6 linked regions of the Oryctolagus cuniculus genome follow. The protein of the gene in region 4 purifies or fractionates together with the protein of the main gene of each other region. This does not show direct contact. Links are inferred from orthologs where the notes say so. Each region holds a gene or a part of one and is shown on either strand. Other genes may lie near its edges. The genes, in order: GNL3, SNU13, EBNA1BP2, NOP56, BRIX1 and FBL.

Region 1 (4,884 bases), on a different chromosome or scaffold from region 4:
TACAGACTAATATTTCCTATAGGATGGGTGCTCAACTGTTGTTAATAAATGTACTGAAAGTGCACAAAAACAGGGTCTTTAAAAAAAAGGTCATTTGCATAATTTAAAGGCCTGAAAGCACCCTTCAGCAATTTTATTCCACGAAGAGATTCTGGAGTTCAATTCCAGGCTTTAAAAGGGCCTTGACTGTAGTCACAAGTCAACAAGTCTGACTGCCAATGAGAATTTACCATGGATAGTAAATAATACTTTATAATGTACAACTGGGAGAATATTTACTCTATATAGCCACATGGTATATTGTGACAGTCTATAAACTTTTAGTACTTTCCTATTTTTTAATGGTATTTAGTTCTGTAATACATACAAGCTTTAGAAAAAATACCAGGAAACCTAAGACTCAAATCAAAACTTAAAAAAAAAAAAAAATAGCACCCATAATCCTACTTCCCAAAGAAAAACTACTCAAATTTTGTGCTCAGAGCTTTTGGCATTCATCTATGCTTTAATAGCCTAATTTCTTTTAAACAAAAGTGTTAACAAACTCTATTATTATTATTATTATTATTATTATTATTATTATTTCATGGCCTCTGTTTTAAGTTAGGGAAGATTCTCCCAAGCTAGCGTTCTTCCTCATGATGTTTGATGTTTTGAGAGCAGTCTATCACAAAGATATAAAATTTATTTATCCAGGGAATTTTGGCAGAATATTAATATTTGAAGTGCTTTGTACACTCCCAAAGTCAAAGAAAATGGTCAAACTCCTTCCATTTCTCCAGACACATATTTGTTTCAGTTTTAATCTCAAACACCTCTTCAAGAGGTACTTTCCAACCTTCCACTCTGGATCTTAAAATCCAGACGGGCAATTCGCTAACAAAGAACAAAAGCAAAGATTTACTATTCTTTTATACTGGCATTGAGTACAGCCTGCTTCCCAGATTCGGGGGAAAGCGCAGTAACGAATGGAAAAACTCCAAGACCGAAAACCATTTGGAGTCCCAGTGTGGAGGAAAGGAACACGTTTTACTCCAGCATATGCCACTCCACCGCGTATTTGCCATTGGTTTTCCAGGATTCTTCCCTGTCTTTGCCGCTCTTTGTTCCTCTGCACATCGACTCTTATTCCTTCTAATAACCAAACTATGCTTCCCTTTCAGAACGTAAAAAACTTTGATGGAAAAATATTGTTTAAAAAACAACAACAGGCTGTTTTCAAACCGCGATTCTTTGTAGTGCAGCGAATGAGAAGCTGAAACACTTGATGTTTAGCCCCTACTCTCAAATACAAGTCGCAGTCACAAAAATACTCGGTCTGAACCGTCGCCCAGAAAGATAAAACGCGTCTCCTAAGCAGAGTTTGCTGTTGAGCCCTCAACAAACAACAACAAAAACAGGCCCTAAGCGGCGGCGCAAACGGAGGACCTGGCCGACCTGTCACTGGTAGGGGACTAAGGGAAACGTTGACAGCTTTGAAGCTGCCGGGCGACGAGCGGGAAAGCGGCGCGCGGAGTTTCCGGGCCGCAACGCGCCTTTGTCCCGGCCGGCAGGTGCGGCGAGGCTGCGGGGCCCGTCCCGAGGCCCGCCGCCGCGCCCCGCCCCGCCCGCGCGCCCGGCCCGACCGGCGCGTCCCCACGGCCGGGGCGGGGCCTCCGCCGCGGCTCCCGCCCGCCCGCCCGGGCCCACACAAAGGCCCGGCGGCCGGCCGAAGGGGAGCGGCCCCGCCCGCCCCGGGCCCGGTCTTACCCAGCCGCTCCGCCGTCTGCAGCCCCGGCCGCGGTCGCCGACCGCCACGCCACGCCCCGTGGCCGCCACGGCTGCTGCTATTGCTCCTCCGGCCGCGGCCGCTGCCGTCGCTCCGGCACCCGCCGCCCTCACCGCCCTCACCCCTCCCAGAGCCGCCGCAAAACCAGCCTTGCTGCCGCCAAGCGAGCCTGGCTCCGCGCGACACTGCGTGCGCGCGCACGCGGAGGAGAGAAGGCGCGCTTTACGACGGTAACGTGACTGCGTGACGCTGGTTCGTGGCCTCAGTTCACACGTGGCGCTCGCCGAGGAAGGTTGCTGCTGCTTCGTTCTCTGCCGCCGCGGTTTCCGCAGCCAGCATGAAGCGGCCCAGTGAGTGGGATCGGCAAACGGGCTTGCAGGCGCCTCTTTTTCTGGTGGTTCCTGAACGCACCAGGGCGTTGGTCTCTGGGAGGTTGGGGCCTGCTGGTGGGCCGTTGCCCTGCTCCCGGTATAACCGAGCGTTGGGCGGCCTCGTGTCCATCCTGTTAAGCCCGGGCCGAGGGTGGAGAAGATCACGCCATATTGTCAGGAGACCGCGACCGAGCCAGGTGGCAGGCCGCGTGCGGGCGGGCTCGCTGAGCCGGGGAGCCGCTTCCCAAACCCACTGTTGCTCTCCTGCTTTATGATCCGTGGAGCTTACACGAAGTGGCAGTCGTTTTGGGACTCGTATACTGCTCTATGTGATTTCCGTCTAACACGGAAACAGCAGGGATTTGGGGCTCCGTTCCGGATCTGGGATTTGAGAGTAGCATCTGTGTTTTTATTCAGCGCCCCACATGATTCTTAACGTTAGATTTGACATAATACACAAGGGTGTGACTCTAGTTCACTCACGGAAAACTAAACCAGGCCGTGTGTTATGTGTTTCTTTGTAGAGTTAAAGAAAGCAAGTAAACGTATGACCTGTCACAAGCGGTATAAAATCCAGAAAAAGGTAAGTGTTGCGCTTGGGAGAGCTGTACTGAAAAAGGCTGTTAAGCCGACTAATGCCCTGGCTCTCCCTCATCGAGAAGTCTGGAGTAAAGATGGAGTCTTCGGGAGGTGGAACAGGATGGACTGACCAAGCACAGCACAAGCTCTCAGTGATCAGGAGTGCAGCTTTGGGAGGGCGCAGTGTTTGGTGTACGGAAGCCTGGGAACTTCCACGTAGTCATCTCTGCAAGGAGAGCCTCCTAGTGTCGTTCTGTTGCTGTTTTTTTAAGTATATATTTTGCTGTCTGTGACTCCCATTAAAGATCCGTTTTTCTTGGGGCATTTACAGGCATGACTAGGTTGTATGCATATTGGTCTCTTACTTGAATTGTGTTAAAGTAGAAAGGTATTTTTTGTAAACTGATTAAATGTCTTGTCATCATAGATTCGAGAACACCACCGAAAATTGAGAAAAGAAGCTAAAAAACAAGGTCGCAAGAAGCCAAGGAAAGACCCAGGAGTTCCAAACAGTGCTCCCTTCAAGGAGGCCGTTCTGCGGGAAGCTGAACTAAGGAAACAGCGGGTAAGCTGCGGTAGCCCAAACTTGGAGTAACTGCGGAGGGGTGGGTGCATTTTTTTTCAGAGGGAGCTGTTGCCAGCAGTCACTGGCTTAACCTGTCTGATGTGTTGGACACAGCTGGAAGAACTAAAACAGCAGCAGAAACTTGACAGGCAGAAGGAGCAGGAGAAGAAAAGAAAACTTGGAAGCAACCCTGGTGCTAGGCCGTCTGACGGGGAACCTGGCAAGGAGGTGAGAGTGATAGATGAGTTCTGATGCAGAACTAAAAGCATGTACAGGGGCAGGGGCTGGTGAGCCTCGAGGAAGAGGAGTGATTCCGATTCTGTCTTACACAATATCACCTGCAGCGCCTCAGTCGGCTGTGCGGATACAGGTACAGATTACAGCTGCTGCACTGCTGGTTTTTATGTCTTTTCCCCCTTCTCTGTTTTCTAGGCACTTGGACAATGCGCAGCCAAAAACAAAGCCAAGTCCCGCAAGCAGAATCCAAAGAAGTTACATTGTCAGGAGCTTAAAAAGGTATCTGAGTCGTGCTTCGGCAGCACATATACTAAAAAAGGTATCTGAGTCTAGGTCAGTGCCTAAAAGTGGTGAAGAGGTTAAAAGACAAAGCAGCAGTCAAGTTCACTACCTAAGGCCTTGTTATGTTTAGCTGACAGCAGTGTGTTGACAGTGGTTTTAAGTTTGAGGTAAGCAGTGTGAAAATGCCGGTCTCTAAAGTACTCTGTTGAAGCTTAAGTGATGGAAATGGAGAAAGGTGGTGGTGTCTTTTTGGTGTAGTTGCTCCCCGGGCTCTCCTCCCTACACCCATTTCCCCAGGGTCATTCCCCTCCAGGTGACTCTGCCTCTCAGTAACTCCTGGTGAGGTCAAAAGGGTTGGCCAGACGACAGGATTCCCTACAGAAATGAGAGCAGCAAACAGTAGAGGGTATTTCTGCTTGTGAAATCCACGCTGCTGAGCAAGACTATTGGTTTTACTTCTGGGTGAGAAATGATGAGCATGTCAGTATTCTTCATACCAAAGTGAAGACATGAGATCCAACTCTGAGCTCACCATATCGCCCAGTGGATGGTACGGGTTCCCAAGGCAAGGGCTGCAGTTGGGGCTGTTCTGCCCGGACAGGTGATCGCTGCCTCGGACGTCGTGCTGGAGGTGCTGGACGCCAGGGATCCTCTCGGGTGCAGGTGTCCTCAGGTCGAAGAGGCCATTGTCCAGAGCCAACAGAAGAGGCTGGTGCTCGTGTTAAATAAGTCAGGTGAGCACAGGGGCTGTCCTTCCTCTCCCATTGCATTACTGAGGTATGAGGAAAATATCTGAACAGTCTGATTGTTGTTGAAGACTGGTAAGATCCAACTCTGACCTCAGCAAAACCAGAGCAAGTGTCCTGTGGCTGGGCAGTGGGCTTTCCGTGGACTTTGGCTGTTCGTTACTACCACCTTGTTTAGTTTAAGAATATCCGCTTCTGTGCTCTGCTTATCGTGCAGTGTAGCTGTCATACAGAAAGGGATGACAGTGCCAAATTCCCCCACCTGCACAACTATTAGTTTTCAACTGAGATAATATGGAACGTATTCGACAAACCATTTGAATGAAACAGAATTAC
Region 2 (4,656 bases), about 89 Mb from region 4:
CCTCATGCCCCGACACATTGCAGGAAGGGCAACCAGATGTGGTGGACGTAACCCAGGTCACCCTAACGTGCAGTTCCAGCTGCACCCCTGTGTCACTCTGTGACCACCGTGGGCAAGCAGCTTCCCTTCTCTAGACCTGGCTCCCTGTGTGAAACTAAGAAATGCCGTTGCATGACCCTTAGGGTTCTGCCAGCTCTCACTTGGAGACTTCCAATGGAATTAGCCCCGGATGGTCTAGTTTGGGTTGGATCCAAGTGGTCTCCTGATGTGCACGGCATCATGTTGGAGAGGCATGAGGAAGGGCCATGAGAATCGAGGAGGCTGTCTTGGGGGTGGTGAGGCATGAGTTCAGCCATAAATAATGGAGATTTGGGGAAGAATTGAGAAAAGAGTGAGGTTCTGGCTATTAGAAAGTAGGTGTCCTGGCCAGTGCTGTGGCTCACTTGGCTAATCCTCCGCCTGCGGCGCCGGCACCCCGGGTTCTAGTCCAGTTGGGGTGCCAGGTTCTAGTCCCGGTTGCTCCTCTTCCAGTCCAGCTCTCTGCTGTGGCCCGGGAGTGCAGTGGAGGATGGCCCAAGTGCTTGGGCCCTGCACCTGCATGGGAGACCAGGAGGAGGCACCTGGCTCCTGGCTTCAGATTGGCGCAGTGCACCAGCCACAGCGCACCGGCCGTAGCGGCCATTTGGGGACTGAACCAACAGAAAAGGAAGACCTTTCTCTCTGTCTCTCTCTCTCTGTCTAACTCTGTCAAAAAAGAAAAAGAAAAAAAAAAAAAGTAGGTGTCCTAAGATATTTCACACTCAACCTGACAGAAACTCAACTCCTACTCCCTTACCCCAAATCTGCTCTTCCTCCTGATTCCTCATTTAATGGATTCTAATTCAGCCTCCATCAGGGACGCTGACAAGAGATGTGATGAGGAAGAACATCTGAAATTGCCTGTGGGGCCTACGCTGTGGCACAGCAGGTTAACACCCTGGCCTGAAGCGCCAGCATCCCGTATGGGCACGGGTTCAAGACCCAGCTGCTCCACTTCCCCTCCCGCTCTCTGCTGTGGCCTGGGACAGCAGTGGAAGATGGCCTAATCCCTGGGCCCCTGCACCCCCGTGGGAGACCCAGAGAAGCTCCTGGCTCCTGGCTTCGGATCAGCACAGCTCCAGCTGTTGTGGCCACCTGCGGAGTGAACCAGCGAGTGGAAGGCCTCTCCCTCTCCTCTCTCTGTGTAACTCGGACTTTCAAATAAATAAATAAAAAATAAAAATAAATTGCCTGTAATTTATCTCTCCTCACCAGGGTAGGGTCAGAAAGACAAGCGCAAGAATGTGCCCGAAAGTGAGCTGGCGCTGGAGTAGTAAAACCTCTGTCGCCCTTTCTTTTCGATGATTAACTCACTTTGTGCCCAAAATTTATAAAACGCTAATAAAAACAACAAGCATAGGGTGCCTCACAAGCGGGAGGCCGCCTCCGCGACGGCGCCCCCTCGTGGCCGAGGTCCGCTCGCCCGTGTGACGCCACTTCCGCTTCCGCCCGCTCGTGTGACGCCACTTCCGCTTCCTGCCGCGCGTGGGCGCCACTTCCGGCTTATTTTCTGGGCAGTTTCCGGCTTCTTCTTTGACGTCGGCGGTTGTTCGTCGCGAGTGGCGAGCCCGCGGAGCCGCAGCCATGGTGAGTGCGTGCGCCGGGCCTGCGGGCCGGGAGCTGGGCACCCCGGGGTTTCGGCTCGCTCGCCGTCCTGCCGGGAGGTCGGGAAGTGCGCGGGCTCGGCCGCCGGGCTCCGGCTCGGGCTCGGCCGCTCGGCCCGGGGTTGGAGCCCGGGCAGCCGCAGGGTCCCGGCAGCCCCGGCCCCACGTTAGAACTCGGGAAGCTCAGGGCCGCCCGCTGTGTCGGCGGTGTTTGCAGCTGTCCGTTCCCCTGGCCGGAGGCCTCGGTGAGCCCGGAAGGGGCAGAGCCTGGGAAGGAGCAGCCCACGTGGGCGATGGTAGAAAGTTGTTTTTTTTTTTTTTTTTAAATGGCTCCCTTCTTTTTTCCTTTCTCTTTTTCCTTATCTTTTACGATCTCTAGGGCATGGCTTAGCCGCCTGGACTCTGGATCACCGTCTTCTACCCAGCCCGCCCCTTTCCCAGTGCTGGGGGCTCCGGAGACGGAGTTCTCCCTTGGGTCCGCGCCCAGAGCGGGCCGCGGGTCACGTGTGCCGGGGATTAACGGGGCCCCTGGCGTCTGGGGGCGGTGGGGAGTGTGGAGTGACCTGGGGCGCGGGAGAGGTTCAGGCTGCCAACCTCGAGCCACCGCGTGCAGCTCCTCTGAGCCCCTGGCTGTCGGCAGCTTTTCTTACTAATCGCTTAGGGAGAGTCCGGGTCGTGGCGGTGGTGTGGCGGGCTCGGGTCGGCCCTTGGTGAGGAAGTGGAGTCCATAGTGGGGTTCAGTCATTCCACGGGAGCTCGGATCCCTGGGGGGCTGCCTCCCCCTCCCGCCCGTCGTTTTGAAGCTCGTGTGTCGGAGCCAGGGCTCATCTGAGGCAGGTTTGGGATCGAGTGATCTCGGGTTGAACTCCGCAGCTTACCTAACTGTACAGTGGGAGGACCGTGCCTGTGGACGCGAGGGTCCGATCGGGACTGAGCGCACTGTGAACAGGTAGCCCCGAAGCCGGGCAGGGAGAGCGAGCACCGGCCGCGCGGGTCCTGGGAACTGCGCTGCTGGCCGCCTGCTGTGCCAGTCCCTGCGCAGACTAGATGGTTCAGGTCAGTTGCTCCACGTCGCCCAGGTGGAAGCAGATCCCTCTACAGTAATAGTAAATAGAAAGTGGTCACTTGTTACCAGGGGTTTCCCGCGTCAGCGTCACCACAAATCCCCCGCCTTGGATGGCTGCAGAGTTGCCATGGCTACAGGACCACCAGGCTGTGGGCGTTTTCCAGCTCCATGACGGTTTTATGGGACCACACAGGTGTATGAGGTTGATCGTTGACGAGAAACTCAAATGTTATGGGGCGTGGCTGTGTTTGTTGAATCAAAACGTGGTCGGTTTTGGCTGTCTGGTGTAGGGATTTAAATTGGCTGGCTCATTTACCCCTTACACGTTGGCAAGTTTGCATTCGTGTTTGTAAGCTGGGCAACTTGGTTTTAGAGTCCCATCGTTTCTGTTGACTGATGGTAGAAGGTGAAGGTTTTTGTCGTGGGTTCTGAAGTCGTCCTCTTCGTGCATTTGATGTCTATGGAGAGTTGAGAACCCTGGTTTGCAGAGTGGAAGTACTCAGCGAGGAGTGACTGGATCTGAAGTGCTGACTCCCTCATTGGGAAGAGGGTGGTGTGCTGAGCATCTGATAAGTTACGGGCACGTTGACTTCTCAGGTAACCACAGAAGGAATAGAAAATGAGAGGATGGAGTGGCAGGCGCTATCCTGACGCCTGAGATGCCCGCATCCCGCGTTGGAGCGCCTGGGTTCATTGCCCACCTCTTGGCGGTGTTTCCAGCCTCCTGTTAATGCAGACGCTGGGAGGCAGCAGTCCACGTGGAAGACCTGCATTGAGCTCTCATTTAGGGAGTGAGCCAGCAAATGGGAGCACTCACACTCTCTGCCTCTGAAATAAATGAAAATTTTCCCAAAGATTTATTTACTTAATTGAAAGAGTTACAGAAAGGGATTGATCTTCATCTGCTGGTTCATTCCCCAAATGGCCACGATGGCCAAGGTTGGACCAGGCCATAGCCAAGAGCCAGAAACTGTTCAGGTCTCCCACGGGTGACATGGGCCCAAGCACGAGGCTATCTTTTGCTGCTTTCCCAAGCATATCAACAGGGAGCTGGATCTGAAGTGGAGCAGCTAGGACTCAAACCAGTGCCCATATAGTATGGGTGACTCCATTTTTGTTTTGTTTAATTAATCTTTTTGTTGTTAAGTCATGAGAAGTTTGCTTTTTTTTAATTAATTTATTTGAAGAGCAGAGTGACAGAGATCTTTCATCCACTGGCTCACTTTTCAAATGGCCACAACAGCCAGATCTCAAGCACCTGGGAATTCAGACTTTTCAGGGCTGGCGCTGTGGTATAGCAGGTAAAGCCACCACCTGCAATGCTAGAATCCCATATGGGCACTGGTTCAAATCCCAGCTGTTCCACTTCTGATCTAGCTCCCTGCTAATGGCCTGGGAAAAGCAGTGGAAAATGGCCCAAGCGCTTGGGCTCCTGCACCTACCTGGGAAACCCAGAGGAAACTCCTGGCTTCAGCCTGGCCCAGCTCCATCCATGGTGGCCATCTGGGGAGTGAACTAGCAAATAGATTTCTGTCTCTCTCTGTAGCTCTGCCTTTCAGATTAAATAAATCAATCTTAAGAAAAATCAGAATGTGGGACTGGGGCTATGGCACAGTGGGTTAAAGCTCGCATCCTGTATGGGCGCTGGTTTGAGTTCTCGCTGCTCCACTTCAGATCCAGCTCTGCTCTGGCCTGGGAAAGCAGTAGAAGACACCCAACTGCTTCGGCCCCTGCACCTGTGTGGGAGACCCGGAAACTGGCTTCAGATCAGCCCCCAGCTCTAGCTATCGTGGCCATTTGGAAATTGAACCAGCAGATGGAAGACCTCTGTCTGTCTCTGGCTCTAGCTCTCTCTCTGTAACTCTTTGAAATAAATGAAATCTTTTTTTAAAAAATTGTTTTAAAAAG
Region 3 (4,648 bases), on a different chromosome or scaffold from region 4:
AAGATGCACAAATCCCAGGGCTGGCATTGTGCCACCTGCAGCAGAGGACAGCCCGAGTGTCTGGGCTCCGGCACCCACGTGGGAGGCCTGCAAGAAACTCCTGGTTCCTGGTTTCTGCTTGGCCCAGCTCTGGCCAATGCCACCATTTGAGGAGTGAACTTGCAGATGAAGATCTCTCTCTCTCTGTCTCTAACTCTCTCTGTGTCTCTTCCTCTCTCTTGTAACTCTGTCTTTCAAATAAATAACTCTTAAAAAAAAAGATACACAAATCTCAAAAGCATAGCACTGAATGAAAGTAGCAAGTCACAGAATATGATTTCATTTATATAAAACTGGAAAATGGCAAAAAAAATATATATCTTGTATAAGGTTACATATATTTGGTAAAACTATATTGAAAAAATGGAATTATTACAAAATCCAAGATGGGATGTGCCTGTGTGGGGGGGCGGGTAGAGAAGGAATTGGGGAGAACTGGAACTGGCAATGTTCTGCTTCCCATCCTGAGTTCATACATCTCCGTTTTACTGTCATTGTTTATATATATTATATATATATATAAATATATATATGTAGCTGTTCTTTTTTGTGTATGTATGACACAGTACCAAGTGCTGAAGATAACAGAGTAGGGAAAAATGATTAAAGAAATCATGACTACCACCCGCAGGGACAATGCAATCAAAATCAAATGCTGTAACATTACACAAACAGGATGAGATTTCCAGTATTTTAAACACACATGGATTCAAAGGGTGCTGTATAGAAGGTGGTATACTCTGGGAAACTGGGCTAGAGAGCTCAGAGAGTGCTCTGGTCATGGTAAAAATGATACTGAAAATGCACGAACAGATTCATCAAAGTAATTCTTTTAATGAAATTACAGTGAAAAAAGTACTTTTAAAGGAACACTATTTTATGTGCGATTTTAACCGGGAATGCAAGCCAACATTCATGCCCGCCACATTCATAAAACAGTATGCACATTCAAGTTGGCCAAAAAAGGTCCTTCCGGGCATCGTGCTGGGGCTCTCGGACGACACGTGGCACTTACTTTTAACGCGTGGGTCTGGATGGAAAGGGTTTTTACCTGGAATGAATTTTTGCCATTTCTGATCCACATTGTACTTCACACAGTGATTTCCTGAAGGAAACATAACGGTCTGCTCGTCGAAGAAGAAGATATTGTTGGCTACGTGAGCTCGAAGTCCAAACACATGCAGCGACTGGGCTACCACGGAGGACATGGTCCCGGGTCAGAGCGCTGCGGGGACCGAGCGCACAGGTGAGACGGGGAACGCCCCGCCCCGGACCCGCCCCCGCCCGCCCCGGACCCTGCTCTCCCCTCGCGCTTCCCCGCCACCCCGCTCCTCTTCCCGTTTCCTTCGCTCCCTCGCGTTTTCCAACTTCTCCCCACGATCCAGGTACCCCCTCCCACCTGGCGCTTCTCTCTGGGTCACCAGACCACGTGCCTCTCCAGAAGTCTTACCCCCGACTGATCGCACGCAACTCAGGCCCTTCCGAACGCGGAGCCGTTCCTATAGCAACGACGTACCGGAAGTATGAGCCAGCGACCGGAACAGGAAGTGCCGATCAAAGAAAAAAAAAAAAAAAAAAAAAAAAAAAAAAAAAAAAAAAGCCCGAGCCGAGAGTTCGAGAGTTGTGGGCGCTCCGGCCCTTCGAGCCCACGTGGAGCTGCGGTGTGAGAGGAGCGGGTGACGCCCTCAGCGGCAGCGGCAGGGACGCGCGTGGCCCTCGGCCAGCCGCGGGGGCCTCGAACATCCCGCTTCTTCGGCCCGCCTTAGGCGTGCGTGCTGCGGGATGGACACCCCCCCGCTCTCGGGGTCGGACTCGGATTCTGACGAGTCCCTGGTCACGGACCGGGAGGTAAGTGTCGGCCGAGCTCGCGGGGCTGGGAGCCGGAGCCGGCGCCTTGCCCGGCTGGTGCTGACCGCGGCTGTGTCCTGCAGTTGCAGGATGCGTTTTCCCAGGGGCTCCTGAAGCCAGGCCTCAATGTCGTGCTGGAGGGGCCGAAGAAGGCCGTCAACAACGTGGTGAGTCCAGAGCCGGCCCGGGGGCACTGGCGCTGTGCGTGGGGCCGAGTCGCGCCTGCCGGGGTGTCGGGGCTCAGCGCCCTGTCCGCCGGCCTGGGGAGGGACGACTTCAGGCTTCCCTCCTGACGACTTCAGTGGCTGAATTTCCTAGAATGGCCTGAAACAGTGTTTGGCCGAATTCAAGCGGGACCTGGAGTGGGTGGAGAGGCTCGACGTGACCCTGGGTCCGGTGCCGGAAGCCCCCGGACCGCAGCCAGCGCCTCCGAGCAAGGACCAAGGAGCCCTGAATCCGGAAGACGACTTCCAGCGGGAGATGAGTTTGTATGTTTGTTTTCAAGTGGGGGAGGGGCGGGGGGCCTTGTGCTGGAGCCTCAGGGAGAGGGGAAGGGAGTCAGACGCAGAGGCAGGGAGAGGGAATGGCAGGCCCCACCGCCCCTGTCTCACTTTGTCTTCCATCTCAGCTACCGCCAGGCCCAGGCTGCAGTGCTCGCCGTGTTACCCCGCCTCCACCAGCTCAAAGTCCCTACCAAGAGGCCCACCGACTACTTTGCCGAAATGGCCAAGTCTGATCAGCAGATGCAAAAGGTAGACAGGGAAGTTTGTCTCTGGAAAGCCAAGGCTTTATCTGTTCTACAGATTGTTTACTTCCAGTCATGCCAGTCACCACCAATTAGATAAATGCAAGACTGGCATTTGGGAAAAGGACTGTAAGAAGTGTGGTCCCCAAGGTAAAGAGGGCCTTTTGCATTTCCTGGAATGGCCATGACGTGCTGTGTATAGAAGACAGCACATCTCTTGTCTTGCCATTACCAGTGAGGAGTGCTGTCACAGATGATGACTTTTCTCTGGGCCTGTTTTCTCTTCTGTGAAACTTAAGTTTGGTAGAACTTGGTTCTCACTTAACTTTGGGAGGGAGAGAATTGCTAACATCTAATCCAAGGTAAACTGAAATAGTTCTTTGGGCTTCATGCTGGATTTTAGGAGCTCTTGTAAGCCAGACACATCTGTACATTCATATGGAATGTGTGCGGTTGATGGAAGAGGCCAGGCACCTTCTTTGTCTGCTGGAGACTTTATCCTGTAGGTGGTGTTAGAGAAGGGCACGGAGGCTGCTCGCTGTTTACCCTCAGTCTGCAGACGGTAGAGAATGCTGGTGTTCTTTCTTGGGCTGCAAGTAGACTGTGTGCTGGAGTAAATGGCATTGACGAGAAGGTAACTTCCAGGCTGGAGTTCCACCGCTGACACTCTTTGGAACCTTGCACACTAAGTGCTTGTCCAGAAAGCGCTCCGTTGGAATAGGTGATTTACATGTTCTGCAGTTGGCAGAACTGGGAACGTGTTTCCTGTTGCTCGGCTTCCTTAGTGGTCACCCCACTTTCACACACATAAACTGACAACGTTTTTTGTTTTAGATTCGACTGAAGCTGCAGACTAAACAGGCTGCCATGGAGAAGTCTGAGAAGGCCAAGCAGCTGCGAGCGCTTCGGAAATACGGGAAGAAGGTGAGAGATACATGGGGACAGGGCGAGGCGGGGTGTTTGTCAGGTCCGATGGCTGTGGTCTGATCGAGTTCCATGCCCTGCATGCTTGATCATGGGCTTCCTGTGTCATGGTGGCGTGTGTGTGCTCGTATTTGTGAGCACAGTCTTACCTCAGCCCCAGGGCAGGCCCAGGACTCTGTGACAGCACATGAACCTCTCCTTCACCCTCTGGGCTAAAGCTTCCACATCTATGGAGGAAAGAGTTGGGGGTCAGATCAGTGGTGTCCAACCTGACCTCACAGCAAAACGCCCCGGGGGAATTTTGTTTCTGGGCTTCAGACTCTGGGAATTTGTGTGTATGTTTCTCTCATTCCCCCAAAAACTTACCAGGTGATGCTGATCTGTATCTTTGTGATTGATAGGCCTAGACGATTGTCAAGTTCTTGAAGGAATAATACTGTTACCCAGTCTGAGAGACAAAAAATAGCATTTGTGTGAATGACATTCTAATGTCATCCTGAGTTCTAACATAAAACCAGATCAAGCACACCATCAGAGCGTGCTTGGTTTTCCTTTTTTATTTTATGGGCTCCTAAAGAACACAGGAGTTAAGTGAGGATTGCAGGAAGAAATGAGCATGAGGAAGATCAGCATGAATCTTGGAACTTTGTTGGTGTTTTGGACATGAACACTGTGATGAGGCGTGGACGTTTCCACAATTGGGGTCACTTCCCTGATAGTTTTCAGCACAGAGTAGACTAGAATCTTGTCCCCTGTAAAAGGTTTGTTGTTTCTCTGATCTGGAGGTGAAAGGCTGAGATCATTGCAAAGATCCCAGCAGTCAGTTTAACACATTGTAATTTGTCAAAGCAAAGAAAATCTTTTTTAAAATTTCTTTATCTGGAATTCAGAGTTACAGAGAGAGAGAGAGAGAGAGAGAGAGAGAGAGAAAGATTTCCCATCTGCTGGTTCACTCCCCAAATGGCCACAGAGGCTGGGGCTGGGCCAGGCTGAACCCAGGAGCCTGGAGCTCCACCTGAGTTTTGAGCCATCTTCTGCAGCTTTTCCTAGGCTATTAGCCAGGAGCTGGATCGAAAGTGGAGCAGCTGGGAC
Region 4 (4,723 bases):
GAGTACAGGCAGGTGCCCTCACTGGTACCTGAACAGGGCCTTTTCAGCCCCAAGGATCTGCACTGTGGATGCTGGATACTTGGCCAGGTTGGTGAGACTGCCAGCATGAGCAATGAGACGGGCACCTACCTGGAGAAAGGTTCAAGGAACAAGTCAGAGACCAGCTGGACTTGCTCCCCGTCTCCCCCTGGTGGCCAGCAGCGAGCAGTGCAGGATGACGCATCCCCTCAGCACGACCCCCACCCCTCCTGTTCCCTGTGACATACCGCTTCCCCAATGAGAGCCGACAGACTGGGGGCCACCTGGCTCATCTTGGAGCGCAGGTAAGTGTGTAGGCTCTGGCGGTACTCAGACAATGACACCACACGGCTGGAGAAGCTCTCGATGTTGATCAAGTCGATGGCAGAGATGTCCATGCCTAGAAACACCCCAGTGTGAGTGCAGGTGCCAGCTGCTCGGAGCCCTCCCCCCGTACCAGCTGTGAGGCTCTGTGCTGACCCATGGAGGACCGGGAGGCATCCAGAATGGCCTTGGCCTTGGCGCCATCCATCGTTAGCTCCTCCAGCTTTTCCAGCTTGTCCTCGTTCAGCTCCTTTCGGTTGCCGATGAACTGGGCGAGGCGGCAGTACGTGGCGTTGTCATTGATGATCTTCACCAGCTCCGGAAAGTGATAGCCGTACCACTCCCTGCAGAGACACAGTCCCACCTGGTTCTGGCTCAGCTGCCGCAAGGCCACAAACGCACCCGCCTCAGCCCTCGCCACCCAACTCGGCCTGGAGCAAACAGGGACAAGCCCAATGCCGGTCCCCTCAACGCCTTGTCCCCCCACTCACAATACAGCCCAGGCACGATGAGGCCAGAGCTGAGGTGTACATGGGGAGGGCCTGCTCTGCCTCCTCCTTCTATACAGTCAGTGTAAGAACACAGCCTGTGGTAAGCACCAGGAGGCCCAGCCCACACTCGCCCGACCGGCGTTGCAGAGGCTCGCGGTGAGGGGCGGCCTCTGGCTGTTACCTGACGCGCATGGAGAAAGTGTTGATGTCTTTGTCCAGCTGGTCCAGGAGGCTGATGGACTGGATGATCATGTTGTCCACCCGGTTCACGTTAAACTTCACTTTGGCCCGAGAGTAGCTGTGGCCCAGGCCCAGCTGGGCTTTACACGCAGACACATCGGTCAGCCCCTTCACCAGATTATGGAAATGCAGACGGACTCCTGGGGCAGCCGACACGGGAGCGTGAGCGAGCCAGCTCCGGCACCCCGGGCCCCTCCCAGGAGCGACCTCGTGGCTCTAGCCAAGCCTCACCGCGCAGGATCTCGGCTATCACGCCTCCAGTCTGGCAGCTGTAGCCCAGCTCCTCTTGTATGGCGGCACCAATCTTGGGGTCCCCAACCCCTAAGAGCACTTTCTTCTTCTTGGACGGCAGGTGAGTCTCCAGCAGCAGGCGGAGGTCCTCGTGCACGACACCTCAGGACGAAGAGCAGGGCGCCCACTAAGTGGCTGAGGGCCGAGGGATCCCGCCTCCCCGGGCGTGTGTGGCCCAGCCCTCCCTGCAGGCATTGCTCAGAGACATGGAGACATCAGTGACAGGACTCAGGGGATTGACAGATTATTTTGAGTCATCATTGCAAAGCCTGGCTGAACCACGAGAAACAGGACACAGGCCAACAGCCCAAGTGGGACACACACCTCAACTGCAGGGGACACCCAGTGGATCCCAGACCCCAGATATGTGTGTTTCCCAGACATACCTGGGATAAAGCCCAATTTATGAATAAGGCAATTTAAGACATTAGCTAACGAAGAAACCGTATAGTAACTACAAAAGTCACCAACTGAAATCTCATTAAACCAAGTCTGGACTGGCGTGGGAGGTCCTGCTGTACAGCGCTGTGCAGTGGGCTAAGCCTCCGCCTGCAGCGCCGGCATCCCCTATGGACGCCGGTTCGAGTCCCGGCTGCTCTTCTTTCAATCCAGCTCCCTGTAGATGGCCCAAGTCCTTGGGCCCCATTTGGAGTGAACCAGCGGATGGAAGATCTTTCTTTCGGTCTCTCCCTGTCTATATCTCTACCTCTCAAATAGTATCTCCTATCCCAATTTGCCTTCTGGGACCAACACCCTTGTAATTATCAAAAGTGCCCCTTCCGACAGATTAAAAGACACAGCAGAAAATTAATAAGACAACTAATCGTGTCTAGGCAAACTTGGGCACACGTGCAGGTTAAACCAGCCACCAGAAAAAACACCACTGATCGCTAACTACAATGCTCAAAGAAACCAAAGCCTACATCGTGGGTTGCATGCGTGAAATGCACCTTAATCACAACAAGCCAGCTGACCCCGGGCGGCGACGCCGACTCACCTTCCGACACCGCGTTGGCATTTTCCAAGGCGACCTGGGACGAGGAGAAGGGCGAGAAGGCCACGAGGCGCACGATGTTGTGAAACTTGCCCAGGTTCAGCACGCTCTCCTCCACCTGCCGAGACAATGAATGGCGCGGCCGGCGGCCGACGTCAGCCCCCGGGCGCCAGGAAGACGCACCGGGGCCGGGCTCTGCTCTGGGACGCTCACTTCCAATGGCTCCTACCGCGACCCCGGCCACGCGACGGGCTGAGGACCCCCGCCCCGCAGTCTTCCGGGCCGGCCCCTCCAGCCCGCGCGGCCGGCCACGTGGGAGCGCGCGGTGCATGCCGGGGGCGCGCGACCGAGGGGCTGCAGCGCAGCCGGGCGAGCCCCCCGCGCCCACAGAGACCACCCACCTGCGGCAGCAGCAGGCTGATTTCCTCCACTTCCTTCAGCGCCAGCAGCGCGTAGCCGACCGCGTGCTCGAACAGCACGTGCAGGAGCACCTGGAACGGCAGCCGGGGTGCGGCCGTCAGCTCAGCCCCTGCGTTCTCCCGGCCACACTCCCAGGACACACCGAGGCCCGGGCTCCGGCATTCGAATTCGGATTCGAATCCAGGCCCAGACCACGGCCTCCGCACAAGCCCGCGACCCGCAACCACTCCTCACCATGGCGCCTGCTCCTTGCCCGGCTCGCAATGCGGCTCTCTGGCTCTGGCGCGCAGAACCAGGCTCCAGAGGACACGCCCCCCGTCGGGTCGGCCAATCAGAGGCCGAGGACGGCACTATCTCAGAGCCTTCGCAGGGGGTCCTCTGGGAGTGGTATCGCCCAGAGCGCGAGTCGCGGTGGAGCGGCGCGCGGACGAACCGGCCTTTTCCGGTCTCTGCGGCTGCGCGGGCGGGCGCGGTTGCCCGGGACACGCGGGATCGGTAAGGCCCTGCAGGCCGCAGGCCTGCGTGGAGGGGCGCTTTTTCGGATAATGGTCCGATGGCCCGTATTTTCGTAATTTGTGAAGCGGGGGCAGGAGGATCCCCGTGGGCGCAGAGCCCGTCCCACGCCGCGTGGCTGCCCTCGGCCTCCAGGCCCGCCCGCGCGCCCACGCTCCCGGCGCCCACTCTCGGACAGCGCCCCGAGCTCTGTGGGCTGCGCGCTGTCTCCTCTCCGGGACGCGGGACGCCCTGGCGCCGTCAGCGCCGCGAACGTGGCTCCTCGCAGCCGCATTGCCGAGTTATATGTAACTTAGTTCTAGGGCCGGATGAGTGTCGGTCGGTAGTGTAGGAACGGAGCGACCCGACCCCGAGTCCTCGTGGAGCGGTCTCGCTGGCCCGGGGCCGGCCGGGTGTTGCTCGCGGCCCTGAGGCCCGGGAGCCGCTTCTGGGGGTCTCTGGGCGACGACTCCCCATGCTGCAGCCGCGCTAAGTAATGAACTTAACAAGCCAGGCCTGGCCACCCCGAGGGAGGACGAGCACGCCCTTCCACCTTGGGCTGTTGAGCCGCAACTAGCAGGCGCGTTCACAGCTTTAGTGGACCTCAGCCGTCTGACAAATTCCCCCTTTTGGGGTTCCATGTGGTCAGGACCTCTTAATCATAATAATCTCTGTTGTGCCCCGATCACTAGATCCCCTAGAGAGTCTATCACACCGAAATGCAGATCACCAGAGACCCCCCCCCAGGGAGTGGATCACACCGAAATGCAAAAGCAAGGTTTATTGAATACAAGCCGCGACTGGGACCCCAACCAACCCACCTGCGCAGCCGAGTTAGGAGGGAGGCCCCGGTCTTCGTTTGGGAGAGTTAAAGGAAACACCCACAGGCTTCCATCAGCGGGGGCTTACAGCACGGAGTTGCTCTTAATTGAACGGGGGTCTCCGGTTGGCTTGGGTTCAGGGAGCTACTTTATTTAGCAGTTTCTTCTGAGCTGTCCATTCCAGCTTTGATGTCTGGAATGCCTGAATGCTTTTACAAAGACTCGGGTCTGCTACGGAAACAGAGGCTGCTTTTTTTTATTATTATTATTTTAAAATGGAGTCCCTGGCTCTTCAGTCTCAACATTGCCTGCTGATGTGGTTCAGTTTGCCGCTCATACCGACTGAGGATCGGGAGTCTACCTCAGGGCATTTCACGTTTTAAAACAGAATTGCAAAATCATCTGTTACAGACTTCCCTACGCTGAATGCGCCAAATTAAACGGATGCTTTAATATTAACATATTAGTGCTGTGACATCCGTTTTTCCATTTACCTCATTATTTCCAAACTTCAAACTAACTCTTCCTGGGGTTACAGGTGCTTATCCACTAAGGATAAGTTGGGGGCTTCTTTTTAAAAATTAAAAAAAAAAACAAAACAACATTTTAAGGCTGGTGTTGTAGCATAGCAG
Region 5 (4,647 bases), on a different chromosome or scaffold from region 4:
TTGAATCAGAGTTGTGGAAGAAAATGGATTTAAAAACTTAGTTATGAATTACAGAAAAAGTGTAAACAAATTCAAATTTCTAGTAGTTTAAAATATCTAAAGATATTCCAGTAATTTCAGTTTGAAAGCACTGATAAAAACACTAAGTTAAATTACAACCAAAGTTCAGCCAATTAAAACCAAAAGCACCTCTTAACACAGGCACAAAATCAATTAAACAATGGTACTGCCTCTATCCAAAATTCAAAACTAGATATTCTTCATTTACTTACAGAAAACTGGTAAAAAAAAAAAAAAATAACTTGGCATAAAACAGATTAAGCCCAACCTAAAGGTGTTTTAAATCCTATTCCAGGATTATGATTTTTTTTTTTTTTTTAATAAAAAAAGATTTTAAAAAAGGTTCAGGCGGGCATTGTGGTACATCAGGCTAAGCCACTGCCTGGGACACCAGCATCCCATATGGGTGGGGCTGCCAGTTAGAGTTCCAGTTTCACCATGTCCAACCCGGCTTTCTTCTAATGTACCCTGAGAAGCAACAGATGATGGCTTGGGTGCTTGGGCCCCTGATGCCCACAGAGACCCAGATGAACTCTGGGCTTCTGGCTTTGGCCTGGCCCAATCTAGACATCGTGGGCATTTGGAGTGCAAACCAGCAGATGGAAGATCTCTTTTTCTGTTGCTTTGTGTTTCAAGTAGATGAAACTAAACATAGAAAAAAGAAAAAAAAAGGCAACACATAGCAGGCTTGAATCCTTTAAAAGGTCAAATAATCCCACTATCTCATGACCTCCAACAGCATTTTTATGAAGGCACCCCTGGATCTTCAGAGGTACTGTGGTTCTTTATCTGACAACACTGTGTAAGTCAATATACATGGAAGTTAAACACACAGAAGCAGTGTTATAGACACAAGTCTTGAAAGCATATAATATCAAAGCTACCTGCTTTAGAATGAGGCATCAGCATTCTCAAGTCCTGCATTAAATGTCTTGTCCTGAAATTTATTCCTCTGGAAGAAAAGATAAGGATCCGTTCCTTGTTTTTCCACTTGCCCTAAAAAAAAGAGCGAGTGAACTTTTAAAATCTCAAACCTATCTTGTCTCTTAGTATTGTTTAAGAAGCTATTTGACTTCCTTCTCCCAACCCTAAAGGCTTTCTTACTCTCTTTTTAATATTTCTGTTCTCTCCATCGCAGAGCGCTTCTATCTAGACAGCTTCAATCATCAATTCTACAGGAGAGTAAGGAACTCTTTCCAGCCAGAAAAATCTACAGTCACCCCCAGCACCCTCAGAGGATTAGTTCCAGTCCCCTCTTCCTCCAATTTCTGATGTAAAATGGCAAGAGTATGTGCACTTCCTGTAGACTTTAAATCACCTTTAGATTAGTTATAATCCCCAATGAAATGTAAATGCTTCAGAAACAGTTGTTATACTGTATTGTTTAGGGAATAACAAGGAATAAAAGCCTGTACGTGCTGAGTTCAGAGGCAGTGTTTACTTCAGACTGAGGTTGCTGAATCTTCCACTGGTGCTTATTTTCCATTTCATCAGCACAAATAAATGCTACCAACTTCTCTTTGCAGTAATTCTTATTCCTTTCTTGTCCACACTGACCTTACTTAGGTCCTTATAACTTTGAATCAACTGCAAATTTCTTCAATGGCCCCTCTTCCTAGACAGGAGCTCCTGTAACTGACACAGCCAACCGCAGCAGCTAAAGCTTTATTAAGCACAGCTTCACTCACCCTACCTCCCATGGTTTCTAAACAAGTCCAAAAATAAGGCAGCTTTAATACTGGACTCTAAAATGGGCTAAACCACGTTTTCATCTTTCCAGAACCGCTGCTCCACAACAACTCCAGGCTTAGGCCAATCTCTCTCTACCCTTCTTTCAAGAAAAACAGATTTTCAGGCTCTTACCCACTTCAACACCTTTAATCAACTCTTTCAGCTTTCCCTCGGACTACTCCCTCTCATTCCGGACCAAAATTCTCCCCTTCCCTTTGAAACCCAGCTCAAAGGCTAAGTTCTCCATGATTCCTTCTCATCTTAGGGTAAAAACGATCTCACTCTCTCGCATTGCCACCGACGGCACCACGGCGTGACTTAGATATGACCGCACTTCTTCCTAGCTCCTTAAAGGAGGAGGGAGAGCATTCCCATTTACTGACGATCTAGAGGCCCAGTTTACTCCTCCCCAAAAGTATCTCGCTCCTCTTAATCTGCAGATGAGAAACCAGCACCAAACGTCACCGACACCGACTACCGGCTAGGCTACCACTAAGCACGGGGGACACAGAAGTTAACGTCCCCAGGGTCCGTCTTTGCTTAGGGAATTCTCTCGGCTGAAGGCTAACTCCGAAACCTGTGCTCATCTTCTGGACCACCACCATCAGCTCCTGCACATTCTTGGTTTTCTCCTGACCGCCAGCATCTCCGGGGGAAGAGGTCCCACGCTGGTCGGCCTTGCAATCCCTCAAGCCAGAGGAAGCCTAACTGGACAGTCGCACACGGCTCCTTAGAAGCGTGTTTGGTGAGACAGCTATACGATCTAACGTATTTTTCACTATCCCTTCAGTTCAAGACCCAGATCAAGGCGTCAAAGGCCTCATCCCACGAACAACTTTCCAAAGGTTCCCAAGGCGAGCTTCAGGGTTCCCAAATGACACTGGCCGACCACGGCAGTACAGACCGAAACAACTTCGCAAAAACACACCCTCCAAAAGAGGTAGAAAAGAACAAGGAAAAGCCTATGGAAACACCTGAGCTGAGTTCTCCCCTACGCCGGGTAAGGAGGGTTCCAAAGCCCACCGCCTAAACGAGGACGGCGGCGCGTACGAGTTAGGTGCACACATCATGCACAAACCGTCCAAGAGCACTGCTGGGAACGGGTTCCCCCAACACCCCAGCTACTCCGAAAGGAAGAGAGATTTAGGGAGTCCCGGGGAAGGCGCGTGGAGCCGCCGCCGCCGGCGTAGCGGTAACCGCTTCTACCTTGCACACGGGGCCGGGGATACGGTCTCTGTTTTCTTCCTCCACCTCTTCTGTCGTGACGCCACTCTTTGCCTGCGGCCCGGCATCTCTGTCGTCTTTTTTCGGCTTCTTCGCCTGCACCGGCAACCCTCCACGCCGCTTCCTCTTGGTGGCCGCCATCTTGCCTCGACACCACTACTGGCTTTTCTTCCGGTTCCCCCCACTCCACCGCTCGCTCCACTTCCGGTCTCTATGGTACCGCACGCGCTCCTCTATGGCCCCTCCGTGGCTCTCTGGCGCTTACTTCCGGTCTCGATGATACCGCTCGCTCTCCTCTATGGCTCTTCCGCGACTCTCTGGCGCTTACTTCCGATCTCGGTGGTGCCGCCGTGCGACTCTCTAGGCCTCCTCCAGCTCTGTGGTGACGGTGGCCGAAGCGGAGAGCTGGTCTGAAGATAGTGGCGGGAGCTGAGCCGCCCGCTCCGTGGTATTCCGGGAGCTGCAGCTCTCCTGCTCGGTGTCCAGGCTGGGCCGGGCTCTCGGGTGTCTGGCCCCCTCTACAAGGGTAGGATTTCCGGCGCTCGCGATCCCGGCCCTAGGAAGCGGGTGCTGTCCCGCGGGCAGCTGAACTGGTTGTCTCGGACTCTGGGAGAAACTCATAGGACCCGAGCGCCCCCACCCCGGTTGCCTGTCGGGTTGCAAGCCAGGTTGGTGGCGCGAGGTGGCCCGAGCGGATCCGGGGATAAGTGGCGTGACTGGCCCCCTAGTGCACCTCCTTTGTGGGTTGCGTGTTTTCGTTCTAAGCTACTTTCCCCGTGTTACCGTCCGCACTGGGAAGACAAGAATCCCCCGCAGGGTCACAGTTACAGTGGCGCCTCGCCTGGCCCCTTCCACGTTATCTCCGACCCCCGGCAGGTGCTCTGAGATCCTCGGGAGCGGGTGTGGGCCCCAGGTGCCAGGCAGGATGCCGCTGCTCACCCAGCGGATCCAGGACGAGAGTGTCCAGTACAGCCTAGTGGCCAGCCTGGACAACGTCAGGAACCTCTCCACGATCCTGAAAGCCATTCACTTCCGCGAGCACGCCACCTGCTTCGCTACTAAGAATGGAATCCGAGTCACAGTGGAAAATGCGAAGTGTGTGCAAGCCAACGCTTTCATCCAGGTACGCAACGGGCGCCTTCCAGCCCGAGAAAGGTCTCAGTAGACAAGTTAAGTCTGAAAACAGAATGGCGTTTAAGGTGTCTTCTCTCCTGGAAACATTCTTTCCCCATCTTAACAGAGATAATGGTGAATAATGATAATGATTGACGTTTAGAAAGCTAAACCCTAGGCTAGCCAGTCCTCTAGGTGTTCGGCTCATCTGATCCTCACGGTAGCCCCACACCTTCTGTTGCTCCCGTTTTACGTATGTGCAAACAGTTAATCGATTTGCCAGCAGTCCCAACAGTTGAGATAAGAACCCCAAATGTTTGTTTCCAGACTATATGCTCTTTAGTAGCTATTTCCCTTTTAGAAAAATGCTTTTCCTTCTTTTGGCTGTAATAGAGTCTTACACGGAAATATTTGTATGGTTCAGAAAAGATTTTGGATTCTGCTCATTTTTTTTTTTAAGATTTATTTATTTGAAAGTCAGAGTTACACAGAGAGAGGAGAGGTGGCGGGGGGGGGGGG
Region 6 (3,899 bases), on a different chromosome or scaffold from region 4:
AGGCAAGCGCAGCCCGCACCTGCCGGAACCTCGCTCCCCTCCTCTCTTCTCCTCCCTCGGCCTCGTGCTAAGTCTCGAAGCTACGCGGGCAGGGCGGATCCCATCCCGTCTTTCCCCCCAGCAGCGCGTGCTGCCCCGGCTGTCCCCGTGTTGTTACCTGAGGGCGCGGGCAAGGGGACTCAAAGTGCTCGGGCGGCCCGAGCTCAGATCTGCCCACTGGCTGAGGGTATCCGGCAGACACGGCCAGCCAGGGCCCTGATTACCCAGTAATGCAACCAGCAAAATGGCGACCACAACAAACCGCCCCCCCAACCCGCCCCAGGCTCCGCCCCTACCCCAGTCCGCCCCCTCACGTGACCCAGGGTAATACTCCGCGCATGCGCCCTTCCTGTGCTCACCCGCAAGCATGCGCAGTGAACTACCAATCCCGCCCGAGTAGCCGAATCCCCGTTCTGCCCGGGGGGGGGGGGGGGGGGGGGGGGGGCAGCGCGGAACAGAGCATGCGCTGTGGGGCGGACTGACCCTCCCGCCTCCCTCCCCTGCCCGCCACACAAAGTTGACCAAGGGCGCATGCACCCTGCTGTCCACCGCGGTCACGGCGCAATCAGCGGCAGACAGGGACCACGGAGAAGTCATTTTAATAGAAAAACACAGGAGCCACGGCACAACACGCATCTCTCGACATCCACACAGCACTGAACTTTAGCTCTTCACCTTGGGCGGCGGCCTGTGAGCAGATGGGGACAAGGGCGGGGTTACAGCTGGCCACCACTCGGGGGTCCGGGGGCCCCAGGACCGCCGGGCGCCGGCTCACCTGTACACGCCCACGACCACAGCGTGGTCCCTCTCGTACGGCTCCAGCGTGAGCTGCTCCTGGGGCTTCATGTTCTCCTGCTGCATTTTCTTCACCTCTGAGGCGAACACGGCCTCGGCCGAGGCGGTGGAGTCGATGCAGTTGGCCTGCGGGGAGGAAGGAGCCAGAGCCCGCGTGGTTTGCCTTTGCCTAGCACCGCCAGCGCCGCTAGGGGAAGCCTGGTTCATTAAGCAGCCTCAGGCCCAGGCCCGGCAGGAAGTCCTAGCAACCTCCTGTCACCTAAAGCTAGTTTCCCGGGCACAGGCAACAAAATGCCAGCAAGTGGCGAAGCTGGTGGCGGCTACGCGCGTTCTAATTGCAAAGTAAATGGTTCTGAAAAATGCACCTAGCGTCTGTGCAGTATCTCTTCTAAGCCCTCCATGTAGACTGAGTTGATCCTTACATCAACCCTGAGATAGGGCCAAAACGTGTATTTCACAAGACAGAGGCACACAGGTTAAGCAGCTTGCTTGAAGTTGCACAGCACAGCACGCTGGAAAACAGACCCAGCGGCCGTGCCCTTGGCCACCACGCCGCCTTGGCTCTGGACGCCACGCTTTGGGTTCTACAGGTATTCTATGCTGTGCTATCTGACCGGGGGCAGGGGAGGCTTGTGAGGAGCTGGGATAGACTGGCCAAGGCCCGCCTGCCTTTAAAAGGTTTTTAATCAACTAATTTGAGAGGCAGAGACAAAGAGAGATCGCCTATGCAACCAGAGAGGTGCTATTTGCTGGTTCCCTCCCCAAATGCTGGGAGTGGCCAGGAACCGAGGCTGAAGCCTGGGACTCAGTCCAGATCCTCCACCTGGGCGGCAGAAGTCCACTCATTTGAGCGATCACAGCAGGGGCTCAAACCCAGGTTCTCTGATATGGTGCACATGGGCATCTAACCACTAGGCTAAACACCACCCCAGTCCCCTTGTTTTGACTGGCTGCTTGGCAGAGAAAACACCTCCCTGGGACGCTGCCAGCCCACCTTCGACTCCCCCAAGCCTGGTACCTTAATGGAAATCACAAAGTGTCCTCCATTCCGCAGGAAGGTGTGGGCATTGAGAGCCACAATCCGGGTCTGGTCTGGCTGCGCCACATCAGCAAAGATCACGTCCACCATTGCTACGGGGAAAGGGCTGCCAGTCAAAGCTGGACCCACCCAAGAGCTCAGCTCCTCCCGGGGGGCCTGCGCACCATCAGCAGGCCCTGGAAGGTCTCCCTCCCCCCACACTGACCCCCTCCCTCCACAGCACCCCGAGATGGGCTCAGAATCCAGTCACGCATCATTCCTTCACTCTCAGAACCATGGCTGCCCCCTCCCTGTGGCCAGCCCTGGGCCAGACGTGGGGGACGCAGACGACTCAGACCCGGGCGTGGGGGACACAGAGACCAGTCAGACCCGGGGGCAGGGGTTGATGGACGTGTCATCAAGACGAGAGAGGGTGATCACTCATGGGCAAGCGCGCCTGCAGCACAGGGCAGTGGGAAGCGTGCCCAGGGAAAAGCTTGGAGTAGAGGGAAAGGCAGTCTGTAAGGTGTGATTTTAAAAAAGAAACAAAATAGACGATGATGTGACCTAATGAAAACTGAGCTTCAGAACTGGAAAGGGCAGGGGCTGCTCGTTCCGATCAGTTACCTCCAGGGTGGTTTTAGAGGGCGCCGCCCCTGTGAGCCCGTGTTACACCTGCTTTAGAATTTTTTTAAAACAACAGCTGTCCCATTCACAAGAGGCCCCCCAGGCCAGGCTCTGCCCAGTGTGTGCTGGCTGGGCGAGGATCTCACCAGGTGCCGACAAGGACCCTGAAGGAGGCTTTCCTGGCAAGCCAGGGCAGTGGGGAAAGGGCCATGGTTTGGGGAGGCTACAGGGGCCCTGAGGAAGGGGAGATTAGAGCAGAGGAGGGGGCCCCGTGGCCAGGTCGCCGCCTCTGCAGCCTCGCCTGCCTCCCGCTGCCCCTCTCACTCCTGTAGACTCATGAGGCCTGCGCATCGACTCGAATTCCATCCGGAGCCAGGCTCTGCCGGCCCAACCCGGAAACCTGGAGGCCTGTCCCACCCAGCTGGGCCGGCGTCCAGACGGCTCACCGATGAGCATGCGGTATTTGTGCGGGTGCCGGGCGTCTTCTATCACGGGGATAATGTTGGTCCTCTTCTTGGCCAAGTTAATGAGGTCACGGCCAGAGCGGTGGGAGAACTCAACTGCGTAGACCAGCCCATCCTAGAGGAAGTCATGTGACCGTCAGCAGTGACGCCAGCTCTCAGCACGGACAGCCTGCTCTGGGCCCTGACACGACACACGGCACCTCTTCCAACCCTCAAATCAAAACACGACCACTGGGGCCGGCGCTATGGCGTAGCGGGTGAAGCCGCCATCCCATATGGGCACTGGTTCATGTTCTGGCTGCTCCACTTTCGACCCAGCTCCCTGCTAATGGCCTGGAAAAAGCAGGGGAAGATGGGACAAGTGTCTGGGCCCCTGCCCAAAACCCTCGTGGGAGACCGGGATGAAGCTCCAGGCTTTGGCCTGGCTCAGCTCTGGCTATTGGAACCACTTGGGGAGTGATCAGCAGATGGAAGACCTGTCTCTGTAACTTTTTCAAATATATAAATAAATCCTTAAAAAAAAAAAAAAAAAAAAGCTAAAAAACTCTACCACTTACTGGCAATTGTTACTATGTCTATTTTGCGGATGAAGACATTGAAACGGGTAGACTTGAGGCTACTGGCCAAGGGTCATTCCACCAAACAGCAGGGCTACCTAATCCTGATTTGTTTGGTCTGGGAGCCCAGGCTCCCAACAGCAGCTTAAAAGCAGAGAGCCAAGGCGCAGAGGTCCAGGGGCACACGCCAGGGCCCGGGCACTGCTGTGAGCATCTTCTGGGAGCAGAGTCATGTGGCCTTCATGACCTCACTCTCCAGTGGGCAAAGTGAAGCCGAGAGGTTGGGAACTTGGCTGAAAGCCACGTCGCTGCCAAGTGTTCACACCGACGCCTTGCGTTTTGGCCACGTTATATACCCGTAAGCAAGGAAGGGAACCCGGGGTCATGGAGTGACACGCA

Evidence for each region.
Region 1: the proteins of NOP56 (region 4) and GNL3 purify together in Homo sapiens (affinity purification with mass spectrometry; 4 studies listed by BioGRID and IntAct, with this or other methods). This does not show direct contact. The link is inferred for Oryctolagus cuniculus from reciprocal best matches to the Homo sapiens genes NOP56 and GNL3.
Region 2: the proteins of NOP56 (region 4) and SNU13 fractionate together in Homo sapiens (co-fractionation; 3 studies listed by BioGRID, with this or other methods). This does not show direct contact. The link is inferred for Oryctolagus cuniculus from reciprocal best matches to the Homo sapiens genes NOP56 and SNU13.
Region 3: the proteins of NOP56 (region 4) and EBNA1BP2 purify together in Homo sapiens (affinity purification with mass spectrometry; 4 studies listed by BioGRID and IntAct, with this or other methods). This does not show direct contact. The link is inferred for Oryctolagus cuniculus from reciprocal best matches to the Homo sapiens genes NOP56 and EBNA1BP2.
Region 5: the proteins of NOP56 (region 4) and BRIX1 purify together in Homo sapiens (affinity purification with mass spectrometry; 3 studies listed by BioGRID and IntAct, with this or other methods). This does not show direct contact. The link is inferred for Oryctolagus cuniculus from reciprocal best matches to the Homo sapiens genes NOP56 and BRIX1.
Region 6: the proteins of NOP56 (region 4) and FBL purify together in Homo sapiens (affinity purification with mass spectrometry; 6 studies listed by BioGRID and IntAct, counting the BioPlex papers as one, with this or other methods). This does not show direct contact. The link is inferred for Oryctolagus cuniculus from reciprocal best matches to the Homo sapiens genes NOP56 and FBL.

What each region holds. Positions count from the first base shown.
Region 1 is NC_091441.1:97,041,618-97,046,501, reverse strand, and holds the start of GNL3 (guanine nucleotide-binding protein-like 3), read left to right. Parts: upstream 1-1,978; 5' UTR 1,979-2,105; coding exon 2,106-2,118; intron 2,119-2,663; coding exon 2,664-2,722; intron 2,723-3,145; coding exon 3,146-3,283; intron 3,284-3,397; coding exon 3,398-3,511; intron 3,512-3,715; coding exon 3,716-3,799; intron 3,800-4,403; coding exon 4,404-4,536; intron 4,537-4,576; exon of another isoform or gene 4,577-4,653; intron 4,654-4,884. UniProt on the Homo sapiens protein: May be required to maintain the proliferative capacity of stem cells. Stabilizes MDM2 by preventing its ubiquitination, and hence proteasomal degradation.
Region 2 is NC_091442.1:117,647,115-117,651,770, reverse strand, and holds the start of SNU13 (NHP2-like protein 1), read left to right. Parts: upstream 1-1,662; coding exon 1,663-1,665; exon of another isoform or gene 1,666-1,787; intron 1,788-1,846; exon of another isoform or gene 1,847-1,975; coding exon of another isoform or gene 1,976-1,978; intron 1,979-4,656.
Region 3 is NC_091438.1:129,849,175-129,853,822, forward strand, and holds the start of EBNA1BP2 (probable rRNA-processing protein EBP2), read left to right. Parts: upstream 1-1,569; 5' UTR 1,570-1,821; coding exon 1,822-1,887; intron 1,888-1,970; coding exon 1,971-2,054; intron 2,055-2,205; coding exon 2,206-2,375; intron 2,376-2,515; coding exon 2,516-2,639; intron 2,640-2,652; exon of another isoform or gene 2,653-3,466; coding exon 3,467-3,556; exon of another isoform or gene 3,557-3,783; intron 3,784-4,648. Other genes in the region: CFAP57 (cilia- and flagella-associated protein 57), read right to left, coding at 1,091-1,247. UniProt on the Homo sapiens protein: Required for the processing of the 27S pre-rRNA.
Region 4 is NC_091442.1:28,154,444-28,159,166, reverse strand, and holds the start of NOP56 (nucleolar protein 56), read right to left. Parts: upstream 3,122-4,723; 5' UTR 3,016-3,121; coding exon 3,013-3,015; intron 2,850-3,012; coding exon 2,760-2,849; intron 2,477-2,759; coding exon 2,362-2,476; intron 1,631-2,361; exon of another isoform or gene 1,559-1,630; intron 1,467-1,558; coding exon 1,305-1,466; intron 1,214-1,304; coding exon 1,015-1,213; intron 951-1,014; exon of another isoform or gene 816-950; intron 687-815; coding exon 499-686; intron 419-498; coding exon 267-418; intron 130-266; coding exon 29-129; intron 1-28. UniProt on the Homo sapiens protein: Involved in the early to middle stages of 60S ribosomal subunit biogenesis. Required for the biogenesis of box C/D snoRNAs such U3, U8 and U14 snoRNAs. Part of the small subunit (SSU) processome, first precursor of the small eukaryotic ribosomal subunit.
Region 5 is NC_091445.1:60,576,991-60,581,637, reverse strand, and holds the start of BRIX1 (ribosome biogenesis protein BRX1 homolog), read right to left. Parts: upstream 3,193-4,647; 5' UTR 3,157-3,192; coding exon 2,998-3,156; intron 1,057-2,997; coding exon 945-1,056; intron 1-944. Other genes in the region: cell cycle checkpoint protein RAD1, read left to right, coding at 3,941-4,138. UniProt on the Homo sapiens protein: Required for biogenesis of the 60S ribosomal subunit.
Region 6 is NC_091449.1:14,150,680-14,154,578, reverse strand, and holds the end of FBL (rRNA 2'-O-methyltransferase fibrillarin), read right to left. Parts: intron 3,059-3,899; coding exon 2,926-3,058; intron 1,966-2,925; coding exon 1,853-1,965; intron 961-1,852; coding exon 815-960; intron 728-814; coding exon 703-727; 3' UTR 622-702; downstream 1-621.